Rhinolophus ferrumequinum: one gene and its partner. The protein of the gene in region 1 binds, or shares a complex with, the protein of each later gene. Links are inferred from orthologs where the notes say so. Each region holds a gene or a part of one and is shown on either strand. Other genes may lie near its edges.

The links. Proteins that work in one complex are often made in the same cells at the same time.
Region 2: WASHC4 (region 1) and WASHC1 share a complex: the UniProt entries of both Homo sapiens proteins name them as parts of the WASH core complex. The link is inferred for Rhinolophus ferrumequinum from reciprocal best matches to the Homo sapiens genes WASHC4 and WASHC1.

What each region holds. Positions count from the first base shown.
Region 1 is NC_046293.1:15,084,670-15,091,564, reverse strand, and holds the start of WASHC4 (WASH complex subunit 4), read left to right. Parts: upstream 1-3,890; 5' UTR 3,891-3,958; coding exon 3,959-4,019; intron 4,020-6,868; coding exon 6,869-6,895. UniProt on the Homo sapiens protein: Acts as a component of the WASH core complex that functions as a nucleation-promoting factor (NPF) at the surface of endosomes, where it recruits and activates the Arp2/3 complex to induce actin polymerization, playing a key role in the fission of tubules that serve as transport intermediates during endosome sorting.
Region 2 is NC_046293.1:88,119,834-88,127,389, forward strand, and holds the start of WASHC1 (WASH complex subunit 1), read right to left. Parts: upstream 3,011-7,556; 5' UTR 2,859-3,010; intron 2,829-2,858; exon of another isoform or gene 2,626-2,828; intron 2,585-2,625; exon of another isoform or gene 2,211-2,584; intron 1,956-2,210; exon of another isoform or gene 1,760-1,955; intron 1-1,759. UniProt on the Homo sapiens protein: Acts as a component of the WASH core complex that functions as a nucleation-promoting factor (NPF) at the surface of endosomes, where it recruits and activates the Arp2/3 complex to induce actin polymerization, playing a key role in the fission of tubules that serve as transport intermediates during endosome sorting.

The DNA of each region.
Region 1 (6,895 bases):
CATAAAATGAGACTTCATTTTAAGTTATAATACTCCTTTTCAGCAGAACAACACTCATCAAGAATAGTTAGTATATTTCGATAAAACAAATTTAGCACATATCTGAAGGCATCAGAAAGCTTATGCAGCAGTCAAGACTTGATGTATCAAGGTCTTGGAAGGAAAAGAAGCTCACTTGAATTGAATCCAACAATTCAAATGTTGAATTGAATCTAACATTTTGCATTTTGCTCTTCAACTTGGCATTTATCAATGCTTGGTTTGGGGAAAGAAGCTGACCAGGTAGCGAATAAATGCCAAAAGGCAAAGAAACCAGCAGTTTTTCAGGCATCTGATGGGGTTAGAAAGAACAACAATTGGAGTTTGAGTGGCCAGGACTTGAGGAGCCAATATTTTAAAGATAAGGGAGATGTACCTATTTCACGACACCTGTTTTCAGTTTGAGTTATTTGCTGATTCTTATGGAATATGGGATTAAGGCTATAAAACTAAGAAGAAAATGCTGAAAAGCAAAGCAGTTTTCAGTATCAAGAAACTGAATAGTATCAAGAAACACCTGCCAAGAAGAAGGGAGTCCAGTGAACAGCTCAGGCTCTCAACTGCTATTCTAAGAAGACATCACCCTAGGAGAGAGTGTGATCTACAGGTAGAGCACTACTGTAAGACCAGCCCACTACTTGGGATAACAGTATCCTGGTTTTCCTCTGAGGATCTGCTTCTCCCCCTCTCTTAGGCCATGTGGTTCCTATGAAGTTACCTCTCCCTCAACCCCTCCCTGCAGGATCCAGTGGTGAAGCACATGACCTAGACTAAGCCAATCCGTACATCCTTCCCATCCCCTGACTTACAATGATTGGTTCAGCAGTATACACAATGTGTTAGTAATGAGGCGAATCAAGGCCAGCCACTTAATTCTGGGACTTCTGTTTGAGCTATCAGTTGCATGTTCCTTTTTTCTCTTTTGCTAGATCTGGTATGGTGATGAGCCTGAAACTGCCAAGGGCTACCACATAGCAAAAGCTGTGAAGAAACAAAAAGAAAAAGTGAAAATCCAAGAGCTGACATCATTTAAATCCTGAAGTCCAATCCTGAAGTCACATGTGAAGGCCAATCCCACAAAGAGATGTATTAAAATTAACATACAGCAAAATGGCCTTTATTTTTGGTATACAGTTCTGAGTTTTAACAAATGTATAGATCTCTGTAAGGAACCAATCAGGATACAGAACAGTTCTACTCCCCATAGCCCCCACCCCCAAATTCCTTGCCCTATCCCTTTGTAGTCATGTCTACGAACCACCCCTTAATCCTGATAACCACTAAAATGTTCTCTACCACTGTAGTTTTATTTCCTCAAGAAAGTCAAATGAATGTAATCACAGACTGTGTAACTTTTTAGACTGATTTTCTTCATTAAACATAATGCACTTGAGATTTGTGCTAATATTTAGGGAATTCCAGGGATTTTGAGATTCTTCTGTTATTGATTTCTAATACAATTCCATTGTGGTCAGAGAATATAACTATAACATTTCAATCCATTTAAATGTAGTGAGACTTGTTTCGTGGCATAGTATATGGCCTGTCTTACTGAATATTTCTTGTATGCTTGAAAGAATGTCTCTTTTACTGTTGTTGGGTAGAATGTCTTATACATATCAATTCGGACAAGTTGGTTGAGATATCATTCAATCCTATATTCTGTCTACTTGTTATATCAAATACCAAGAGAGAAGTGTTAAAATTTTCAACTGTACTTATAATTTTATCTATTTCTTCTTTCTATTCTGTCAGATTTTGGTTAATAAAACTTTATCACTCATTATCAAAAAATGCCAATTCGGTGACTCTCTGTGATATTCTTAAGAAAATTATTGTGGTTTTAATTTAGAAAGAAGTAAGTTTGCTTGGACTCAAACCTTGTAGAGTACAGCAGCTTATTTTTCTGCTTAGTTCTTCATTTAGACAAAGATTTGGCCAGTGTTTTTGCTCAGATTTTGGAGTTCACTCCCTTTGTAGTTCCCTTGATTATCAGTTTTTCCTTCTAAATTTCAAGCTGCTCTGTGAGCCCAACCTCTGTTCTCCGCTATCTTAAACCCACAGGGTGTTAGCTTTTGCTACCTGATGTGCACATCTGTTGGAGAATATGTGCATCAAAGGGCAGCAAACACACCTCTCAACAGTTGTTTTTCAAGGACTCCTGACTGCTATTTCAGCAGACCCTCTTTCATGTAGTTTAGTGGTCAGCCAGGAATCAGGGCAGGGTTTATATTCGGAATTTAGATTTCATCCCTTCTGTGTGTCCCTTGCTTCAGGATTCCCCCCTACCCCCCAAATTTCTGGCATCTCTTCCAACAACCCTGAACTTAATTTTGCTCCACCTCGAGCCAGTAAAACTGCAGTGTTGCAATCCTGTATTTGAAGCGATGAAAGACACTGTCAGGCAAAAAGCCATAAACATAATTATTACCAGTTGCTGAATAAATTTTCCTGTGGTTTCTGCCTGCTTTTATTCTCTTTCAGATCTTTAAAAAGTTATTTTTATCTACTTTATTAACTGCAAACCAGTCTATTTGAGTACTTTAGGTTGCCTCCTTGCCTCCAGGACCTAGAGGTGTCCTGTCAATTACTTTGATGTATTAATTATAAGACTTTTCTAAGATCATTATGCTTTTTAAATTAGGTTATTTCAACCCACTCTGTAGACTACAGCTTATATAGAAAGACTTTTTTTTTTCTTATTTTGCTCTTCTGAAGTTAAAGTAAGGGCTGGCAAACTTTCTCTTAAGGGCCTGATAGTAAATATTTTAGCCTCCTGGGCAATATGGTCACTGTAGGGACTACTCCACTCTGCCATTGTGTTATGAAGCAGCCATAGACAATATGCAAATACATGGGCATGATTGTGTTCCATTAAATCTTTATTTACAAAAGCAGGTGGCAGATCTATCAACTGTACTTTGTTGATCCCTGAGTTAAAATATCTTACTAATTTCCCTTACCAGACAACCGAACTCTTTGAAGGGTTTTAGTCCCTGTGGTAATATTAACCAGAGGAGGTCTTGATTAAATACTGGTTGAAGACATTAACAGTTTTCGCATGCCTCTATAAATCTATTTCATTTCGTTTGACAGATATCTAGTATTTCATAGTGTGGATTATTAAACTTTACGTAATTATTCCCTGTTGATGGACATTTGTATCTTGTCCTATTAGTATCTGTTAAAAACCATGCAGCAATGAACATTAGTGTAAGTAGCGTTACTGGGTAACACAGATTCTTATTTTCGGAAAAGCCAGGTAGCAGGTAGACATTTAAAAACACACTTAGACAGCGCTTTCCCCCTCCCCCCACCTTTGAGAGCAGGGGGAGGAGAGCGTGCAAGTATCACATAAGTAGAGTAGTAAAATTCCTCGCTATGGTTTGTTGTTTGTAAAGTCACTATTCCTCGCAGTTCTTTGTTTTTTTCAAGAACGATCCGCACAAGACGTGCAGGAAGAAAGCAGCTCTCGGATGGTGATGACAGGTAGAGCGTTGAAAATGCTGGCTTCTTGGAAGAATCGCCTGGACAGCGACTTCCTCGAGGATCGGACCACGCCTTCCTGTTAAGCCCCCACCTCATCAATTTTGCCCTTTTTAGGCTCGACTGAGGGAGCAACTCCCAGGTATTAAAAGTAGCTTGGAGACAGCAGGGCGAAATTGAGGGTATAGGTGTGGCATCAGAAGAGAGCAGTGGCGAAGCCCAAGTAGAAACGGGAGGACACCGTGAGGACCGCCGCCTCAACTGCAGCTCCCTTCGGCCACCGGGTAGGACTCGCTTTCCCAGCGGCCCCCGCGCCCCTCGCGCACGGGGGTGGTGCCAGAGCCGGAAATCACGTGTTTTGACAGCCGCTGGGGTGAGGCCGCCGTAGTCCACCAGGCTGGCTGGAGCTGTGACTGAGGGAGGCGTCGTAGTGATGGCGGTGGAGACTCTGTCCCCGGACTGGGAATTCGACCGCGTCGACGACGGCTCACAGAGTAAGGGAGCAGCAGGGATAGGGCTGCGGGTGGGAGCTTCCGCTCCGGCCTCAGCCTTGGCGGCGTTTCTGCGGGAGGGCTTGCGTCGCGGTCGCTGCGCAGCCGTCGGGTTCGGGGCACTTTCTGCCCATTGAGAGGGACGCGTTCTCAAGCGCGTTACTTTTGGGGATAAGGGTCCCAGCAATGGCGGGTCAGGCTGGCGCGATGAGGGCTCGGCATTCGGGGCGGTGACTCTCCAGAGGAGCCCGCGGTGCCCCTGGGGGAGCGGCGTCCACTTTCTGCAGCCGGGGGACGCGGGCGGGGCGTGTCCAGGGAGGCCCAGCAGCCCCGGGAGCGGAGGCTGGTCCTGTCTTTGGACTCTCGGGGCTTTCGCCAGATCATCAGAGCGTTCAGTTCTAGCAGAGGCTGAGGTCCGGGTTCCTGTTTCGGTTTCCTGTTTTTCTTTTTTCCCTCCCCAGTCAACTTTTGGAAGTTTGAGTGGTTTTTCCTTCACATTCTTACAACCGTTGAAGATAGCGAAAAGGAACTCTTCTCATGGTGAAATTAACACGTGATTGCTAATTTATCTCCTTCCATGTCTTTTATTTACGTTAAATGAAAGTGATGTCCTGTACTTTCCATTGTCGCTAGAAAGGTTTCAAAAATTACAGCAAATCTGCCTCACGTTTTGCTTCATAAAATCGAGTTGTCTGACTTTAACTTAGAATCCAGTGACAGGAAACTGACCAATTTAGTTCCACGTAGCAAAATTTAGAGGCCAAACTAATTATTGTAGTGAAACTCTTAAGATTAACACAAGTTGGCAGTCTGTTTTTTTGGTGCTATTAATCTGTTTAAGTGATATTGGAGATACTGGGACATACTGCTTGTGAATTTGTTTTTAATACAAGTTTTCCAAAAGGTGAATGTAATTTTAAAAAATTACCTATGAATTTTGCTTGATTTTATAAAGAAAGAGTGGTGTACAAACTTAGGTGTAATTAGGTTTTAGTCTTTCAAAGAAGCGTGAGTAAATTAAGGGATGGTTTGCAGTTTTTCACTCTATAAGGTATTAGCTCTTTTGCAGCCTTAGAAAACAATCTTGGTGGTGATAACAAAATTCTCTAACTTTTTTTGTGGAGAGGATTCTGTATTTACTGTTACAAAGTGAACTGCACCTTATCATGTATGAAGGTCTATGGACAAAGGTCCCCAACTCTGCCTTTGGAGTAAAGAATGAATTCTTATGTGTAAAATAGAATATTTACTTTCATCTTCAAAAAATTGTGATAAAAACATCTTATTGGGTTTAAAAATGGTTCACCTTAGAGTACAGTGATCTGATTCACTCAGCAGACGTTTTCTGTATACCAGTTGCTATGCTAGGTATTAGGGATACAAAGATAAAACAAAGAATGTAGTCTGTTGGAAGAGATAAGCATGTAAATTGGTTTTTGGAATTTCACTCTTGAATAATCACCACATAGTTTTTTACTTCAAATTTTTTTATTTTAACTTTTACTAATTTTACAACTATTTCTTATCAGCAAGGAACTTGAATGTTATTACAGGTTTTCTGTTGCCTGATACTTTGTGAATTCCCAGACTAAATAAGTAATTTATTGGCATGTTTTTCTAGTATTGTCATTAAGAACTTATTTGTTGAATAAATACAACTAAGGTCATTTTCCATGTAACTGAGAATTAAATGTGTACTTGGGATTTTGAGAATCTTACACGGTTTTTATTTTAAGCTATAGGGAAGAGCTCATCTCATCTCTTCTCTGTGCCTGATTTTCATTAATTTTTGGACTATGAATCATATCTAGACTAATTGTTTTTCAGAATTGCCTAGATTAATGAGAACCTTAATGAACTAAATGGATCCACCTGATTCAAGTGCATTAGTTGCAAAATAAGGGAGAATGGGGAGCTAGATCTTTATTTTATCCTTAACGTATCAGAAGATACTTTATCTTAGAGTTGCTTCTCATTGCTAATTTGAGGAGAGACAATTGTACCTTTTTTAGAAGACAGGGATTGGATAAAGTTAATAAAAGAAACTGAGTCGGAGTTGAATTTGCTGCTTTTGTAATAAATGAATTCTTATGTATGAGGTGGAATACGTATTTACTTTCATTAATATTGACCAATAGGCATAGCTTTATTGTTAAGTTTATTCCAATGCCTCTTTGGAGTCATCTATTAATGTGTAAATTCTGTAAATATCACCACATTATTCTGTACTTAGTGTTCTTTACTGGCTTTTCCAACTCTATTATGATAGTTAAATAATGAAAGCAAATCTTGGTAAATTTGGGGGCATTGCAATAATAATCATTATGATGAAGCAGGTCTAAATGCATTTTAAAAACATTTATATAGGTGTATTTTTAAACAGGTGCATAGAATTAAGAATTATGTTTTTAAATTTTGCTTGTATGACAACACAGATTTTTACACTTAATTCAGGTCATGAATTTATTTTATTTTTTGCAAAAATGTTGTTTAAGCCTAAAACATAAAATTAAGACATTGCATAGTCTAAGGAATTATTCAGATTGTTTAAAAGCCCTGGATTATAGGGTAAATGGTAATGACTTTTTCATACTACTTTAAAATTAGTTTTAAGGTGATATATATCTCTCTGTATATGGCAACATCTGCTTTTAATATTATTTTATCTGGAAAATATTGAAAGCTGAATTACCGTTTAACTTTGAATCTTTATTTTCAAGAAGTCCAGACATTCCAGAGTAATACATTTAGTAATGCTTAGTATCTACTTCGCTGTGACTTTTGAGATTATATAAAGTAAATGTCGTGTCATTTTTGTACTTCTCACATGTTGTTTTAAAATTTAAATTTAGAAATTCATGCTGAAGTTCAACTTAAGA
Region 2 (7,556 bases), about 73 Mb from region 1:
GTTGCAACAGCGGTGTGGGTGGGGCTCGGTGAGTATGGCAGGGAGGGCTTAGGGGGCTTCATTTGGGCTTAAAGTGCTATGTGACCTCGGGTAAGTCGCTTGCCTGCTCTGAATATCTGATGCTATTTCCCATTCTACAGAGAATGGCACTGCTCTCTAAGGGGTTTTCCCAATATATCGCACCACATCTTCACCAAGTAGGTGCTTGCTTCTCCGCTCCCTCTGCTGGTTCCCCTGGCCCTTCCGTCCGCCCTACTTGTTCTCTCCTGCCCTTCCCAGGCCAGCACTTTCATTAGCCGAGATGACTGTTCTGCTCCCCAGCTTGTTTCCCAACAGTCATGTCCTCGGCTTCTCAGACCTGAACCTCCCTTGAATCCTCAACAGGGCCCAGCACTACTCCTCACTTCTCTTGCCTCCTATCAAACGACCAAGAGTGGTGCTAGCTGATCCCTAACTGTCTGAGGAATCTAATCCTGAGACACCCCCCCAACTCCTTTCAAGGAGAATCCCTCCACTTCTTGGTATTCATATTGATGCAAATTTGCTGGCCACCCTAATTTAGTCCCGAGCTTCAGCTTTCCCATCTGTAAGATGGGGAGGGGACCACAGGTAGAAGACACTTTCCTGTGCACATCTTGAAATGCATTCGTCATGGCTAGTCACCATATCTGTGTGTGTACACACACACGAGGGAGTGATTCAGGCACCAATCTCCTGAACAAGGAAGTCCTGGGTCCATTCAGGAATTAAGAGACTGAGTACAGCTGGTTGGCGGTTTACTCGTTCTGTCTGCAAACATCTACTTATCAACTATTAGGTGCCTGCCATGATCACAACAGAGATGAACAGGGCACTCTACTGGCCATGGGAATAGCCTCAAGAACAATTAAACAGCATGTGATGTGTTCTAATCCAGCCGTGAATACAGTACTAGGGGAACACTGAGGAAGGAGTGATGAACCTCTTCTGGGGTTAAGGGAGTCCGGAAAAGCCTCTTAGCAGACGCTGTACCTCCCTAACAGTCCCAGGGAAAGCATTCCAGGTAGAAGGAACAGCTTGAACAAAGGTGTATAGGGGAATGGCAAGTGGTCCTGAGAGGTGAGGGTATAACCATCCTTGGGCAAGTAGCAGGAAAAAGAAAGATAAAGAGAGGCCAGACTGTAAAAAGCACTGAATACCACAGCAAAGAGTTTGGACTGAAATCCTCAGGCCTGCATTGTCCAGTGTGGTGGCCACTAGCTACACGCGGCTATTGAGCACTTGAACTGTGGCCAGTCTGAATTGAGATGTGGCATAAGTGTAAAATATACACCGAATTTCAGATTTAGTAGGAAAAAATAATTTAAGATAACTTATTAAAAATTTTTACAGTCCTGGGTGGCCATTTAGCTCAGTTGGTTAGAGAGTGGTGCTGAAAACACCAAGGTTGCCAATTCGATCCCTGCATGGGCACCGTGAGCTGTGCCCTCCTTACAAAACAAAATTTTTTTTACAGTTCTCCCTGATTTGCAGGGGTCCGTTCCAGAACCCCCGGTGGATGCCTGAAACTGCAGAAAGTACTGGACCCTATATACACTATGTAAAATTTTTCCTATACACACATACCTATGAGAAAGTTTAATTTATAAATTAGGCACAGGAAGACATTAACAACAATTATAAAAGAGCAATTATAACAAGATACTGTAATAACAGTAATGTGAATGGCTTTGGCAAAATAAAGGCCAAAAGGGTTATCGGAACACAAGCACAGCAATACCTGGAAAGTTGATCTGATAACCTAGTCAGGTCTACAGAATGGTTACACTGGTCAAAGGGATGATTCACAACCCAGGGAGGGCAGAGCAGGACTGAGTGGGACACCTGCAAGATTTCATCACACACTCAGAAGGCGTGCAACTTACAACTTATGAAATGTTTCTTTCTGGAATTTTCCATTTTCAAACTGTGGTTGACCCCAAGTAACTGAGACTGCAAACAGCGAAATCGCGGATGGGGGGGATGGGGAGGGCTACTGTATGTTGATTACGTGCTAAAGTCATCATACTTTGCCTATCCTGAGTTAAATAAAAAATATTACTAAACTAATTTCATTTGTTTATTTTTTTTTAAATCACGTGTGTGGCTCACATATTTCTAATGAACACCGCTACCTTTGAGAATCTGGTAAAAACTATGGACGCTTTCAAAAAACTGAACCCACACCATACCTCTCTCTCATAATGCTGTTTATAATTTCGGAAGTGCATGAAATCCTTCCTGCAAACCCCCGAACACCCAGCTCCCAGGTCCAAAACGTCTGCTGTAGGTGATCAGGGTGGGGTCGCATAAGAGGGGCGAAGGAGGCAGAGGCATTAACCGGCCTCAGTGAGGGACGGGAGCTGCAAGAGGTCTGAGGCTTCCGTCCGCATCCTAGAGCCCGGCCCCGAGGGTGGAGAGGCACGTGAGGGTCACGGGGCCGGGCCGAGAGGAAGCGGAGGGCTGCGGCCTTCGGCGCGGGGCCGCTTCGCAGCAGGGCCCTCCTCCGGCCAGGCCTCGGCCTCACTCCGGGGAAGAGGGCCAGGGCAAGGCTCAGGCGCCCGGGCCGGAGAGCCCGGGACCAACAGGGGTGGAAATCCGCCTTACTGCTGGGCGGAGGCCCCGCGCCGCTTCCAGGCTGGCGAGTCCAGCGGCGGAGTCGGAAGTCAGCCCGGGCGCAGGGTCTGCAGTCCCACCCGCCTCTCGCCGCTGCTCGCTCGCGCCCGGCCCCGCGCGGGCCCGGGTCTGCGCCCAACGCGCCCCGGAGCTGCTCCCCCCAGTCCCCTCGGCGTGCGACCAGGGAGGCCTGCACCCTCCCCGGCCGCCCAGCCCCTCGTCACCTGCGCTCCGCGCCGCGCCGCTCCATCCGTTCCGCCCGCTCCGCCCGCCGCGCTTCCGCTCCGCCGGCGCTGTCGGGTCCTGGCGCCGCCGCCGCTCTGCGCGCGGCTTCTGGTTCGCTCGCTGGCTCCCCGAGTTCGGGCCCCGAGCGCGGTCAGTCCCCGACCCCTGCGTGGAATCGCACTCGGAGCCTCCCTCCAACCGCCGGGCGCTTGCCTCTTGTAGTCCCAACACCTAACCGCCGGCCCGCGCCCCCGTCGCTGCCCCTCACTGCCCACCCCTCTGGCCTCACCTGGGTTTTCTGCCGCCCGAGGCTCAGAGACGCCCTAGCCTTTCCCCGTGTGTACCCCCTGCACGACCCCAGCACAGGCCTGCAAACAGCCCGCGCCCTCCAGCCTACGCACTTAACATGTAATACGTCTTTTAGCGCGCCTTTATTTTCTCGTCTTGACTAATGTGGGCCGTTTTCCCCATAGAATTCACTAAGTTTCCGCCACCACCCTCACCGCCACCCCTTTAAAAATTAATTATATAAGCCAGACACAAAAGGAAAAAGACTGTATTAGATTCCACTTATATAAGACAGCTAGAGTAGTCAAATCCATTGAGGCAGAAAGTAGAATGGTGGTTGCCAGGGGTGGGGAAGCAATTTGGGATGGGGGAGTTATTGTTTAAAGGGTACAGTTTCTGACAAAGCCTCTGACCAAACTGTAGTCAGGCTTCACTGAATTCTCTTCCCAACTAGGCCTCTACTGACGTTTCCGAATTTTAGCGAGAATCCTGTTAAGTGGGTTTAGACAGAATCCCCCACTCTCTGTATTAATCAGATCACCCTCCGTACTGATCAAATATCAGACCAAATTCCTCATGCTCCAACATACCCCAGGTGATAGCTAGTCGCCCTGGCCTGCTTTCAGCAAGAATCCTGTCAGGTGAGTTTAGCAAAGAATTACCCCACCATTAGTAATTTTCCATCCAGGACCACCACTCCCAGCTCCTTGGCTGTAAATCCCCACTTGTCCATGCTATGTTCGGAATTGACCCCAGTTCTGTGCTGAGGTCTCTTTTCCCCTGTTGCAAAGTCCTAGATAAAATCTGCTTTCACTGCTTTAACTACTGTCCAGATCTGGTTTTCTTTGACGTGCCTGTTTGGGATGATGAAAAAGTTCTAGAGGTTGGTAGTGGTGATGGTTGCACAACAATGTGAATGTATTTAATGCCACAGAACTGTACACTTAAAAATGGTTAAAATGGCAAATTTTTTGTTATCACATACAAAAAACAAACTATTAGATTGGTGCAAAAGTAATTGCAGTTTTTGCAATTCTATTTAACCTTTTAAACCGCAATGACTTTTGCACCAACCTAACAGTTTTTTTAAAAAAGATTTTTAAAAAGGTTAAATATATAGTGGAAGTGTTAGTCCAGAGATCTCACAATTGTCCCTCCTGGAGTCCATTGGGGCTTGTCTTAGAGTTCTTGGTCTGTCTCTTTTAGAGTTGCCTGAGGAAAATATAGGACACCAAGTTAATTTGAATTTCCGATAAAAAAAAACTAATATATGTGTGTGTGTGTGTGTGTGTGTGTGTATTTAGTGTAATTATATCCCAAACTAAGCATGAGACATGCTAAAAAATTATTTGTTGCTTACTTGAAATTCAAAATCAAATAAGTATTTGATATTTTTATTTCCTAAATTTGGCAATTCTACTTTCTTCCTAACACTCTCCAAGTTTTGTCCTCCTTCCCTGCCCCTCCTTCCAAGAGAGTTAGGTTGAATTGTCTTTTGACAAGAACATTCCACCGTCTCACCAGCTGTAGTACATGGTCACCACCAGCTGTGGAGTCCACCTATATTATGGACTGAATACTTGTGTCCCCCCAAATTCATATGTTGAAGCCCTACCCCCCAATGTGGTGGTATTTGGATCTGGGGCCTTTGGGGAGGTAATTACCTCCTTTGGGGAGGTAACTGGGGCCATCATGAAGGTGGGGCCCTCATGATGGAATTAGTGCCCTTATAAGAAGAGACACCGGAGAGTTTGCTCTTTTCTTTCTCTTCACCGTGTGAGGACACAGAGAGAAGGTGGCCATCTGCAAGCCAGGAAGAGAGTTCTCAGGAACCAAATTAGCTGGCACCTTGAGCTTGGACTTCCCAGCCTTCAGAACTATGAGAAATAATTATTCACGTTGTGTAAGCCATTCAGGCTATGGTATTTTGTTTTTAACGAATACAACCTGCTAACGCATTTCCCCCTCACTCCTCCTGAGCAATGACCGAGTAACTTAAGGTATCCAGGTTACATCAAAGGAGGGGAAATGTGCTGTGTGCAGAGGACAGCACCCAGGATCGGGGCCTCGCCACTCATTCCTTGTATGACCTTGGGCCTTGATTGCCCCGTTTATAAACTGGGGTTAAAAGTGCTTGCCCTGCCTCCTTTTGAGAGCTGTCATTGGATGTCAGAAGTTCTTCGTGATCTGTAAAGTTTATTCAAGGACAAAAGGAAATTTGGACGTGCTCTGGGATGTCTGTCTATACATAGACACACAAACACACACCACGTGACAGGAAACCTAGCTGTGTTTTCTCACAAAAGTGCAGCTAGACAGTGCCCCATGGCCCAGGCCAGCCAGGTCACCTCCATACAGTTCACCTTTCACTACATAAAAGTTCTCTGCCAAATCTACTATTTGTAGACTCATCCCAGACCTAATTTTAAAAACTTCCAAGGAGCTGGATTGCAAAGACATTTGACCTCAGCCACTCAAGCTGCAATGGGAATCCTTGACCTCGCCCTGGAAAAGAAAAGCTGAATGTCAGCCTAATGTGTGGACCCTATGGCCCTACCTGCCTTTGTTGGCCCATTGTGTTATTCTATGTATATGAAATATCCAGAATATGTAAATCCTGGGAGACAGAGCATAGATTGGTGGTTTCCAGGATCTGAGGGGAGAGGAGAACGGGAAATGGCTACTTAATGGGTGCAAGTTTTTATTTTGGGGTGATAAAAATGTTTGGAACTACATAGAAGTGGTGGTTGCACAACATTGTGAAGGTGCTGAATGCCACTGAACGGTTCACTTTCAAACTTTCATGACAGTCATATAAGTTTGCTTTATATGACTTTCACCTCACTTCAAACAAACAAACAACAATAACAAAAAGATGCTAGGAGCAGGAAATGCTGTATCCATATGAGGCCAAGCCGGTGTCTTACCCTTTCTACCCTCCTCGGTGTGGAGCGTGTACTGGATGTGAGGTACATCAGAGAACGCAAGAGTCTGAAGAGACCTCAGAGGCCGTAGAGTGACGCTCCACTCATGGACACAGGAGCATGGTGGCAGCACAGATAGACTGAGGGCCTTTTCTCTGTATCCTCCGAGGATACCTTTTCCTTTCCCCAGAATGAAGATGACGAAGACGCAACAGTCTCCTTTGTCACCATTCTTTCAGCCCACATTGGTGGAGTGCTTGCTCTGTGCCTTCAAACAAGTCAGGGAAACGGACACTTAAGCTGATGCTTGCCAGGTGTGATTGCATTTTGATGGAAGCAGTGGAGGGCTTGCTCCGAAGCACGGAGCAAGGCGTGCATTCAGTTCAGACTGCTCTCGGTAGTGCAAACAAAAACCTCACGACAGGGCTTACGCATTAGGAGATGCTGTTTTCCACATTGGAAGAGAACCAGCAGTAGACAGAACGGGGCTGATTTCGTGGCTCCATGGTGCCTTGCGGAACCTGGAATCTTCTTTCTACTCTGCCTTAGCACATGGCAGGCATCCTTATGGTTGTAATACGTATGCTCCATTCCGGGGCATTGCAGCTGACTTCCAGGTGGGAAGAAAGGAAGCACAAAGAAAAAAGGCAAAAGGCATGTAGGAGGCCAATCTTTTCCTTTTTTTTTAAAGCTTCTCTAAGACTCTCCCTCCAGCAACTTCCTCTTACAATTTATTGGCAGGGACTGGATCACATGACTGCTGCTAGCTGCAAGGGAGTCTTGTGAAATGGGTATTGAAATCCCCTGAACAAAATTGGAATTTCATTAGGAGGAAGGGGAGAATAGACAGAGGGTAGTCAGCTGTGCAGTGTCTGCTAGATACACCTAATCCTTCCTTGTGACTTCGGGGGTTGCTCGGAGAAGGTTTCCTGGAGAACATGATGCCAGACACGAAGCTTAAAGAATAAGTAGGAGTTACCTCGGTGAAGCAGGGTGGAGTTATAGGCATTCCAGGGACATCAGACAGCAGGAGTGTACTAATTTAGGTAAGGTTAGCTGCTGCAACAAACTGAAAACTTTAAATAAAAACTTTATAATGGCTTAAATGTAATGGAAGCTCATTTCTGACTAATGGAACGTCTGAAACAGTGGATGGCTCTCCTTCACATTTTAATCCAGGGACCCAGGTACTTTCCATCTAAGACTCTACCATCTTCAACACGGGGCTTCCCAGATTGGAAGGGGAAAGAGCATGAAGAGCCTTGTGGGAGGTTTGATGGAACAGGCCTGGAAGGAGCATGCAACTCCTGTTTACATTCCATTGGCTGGAGCTGGTTCAAATGGCCACATCCAACTGCAGGGGAGACTGGGAAGTACAGTCAATTTCTATTCCCAGGAGGAAGAGCTAGCCAGTTTCTGCTATAATGATCAGGAGGTGAGAAAATGCACAGTTGGGTGTGGAGTAGGCAATGAGACAAAACCATA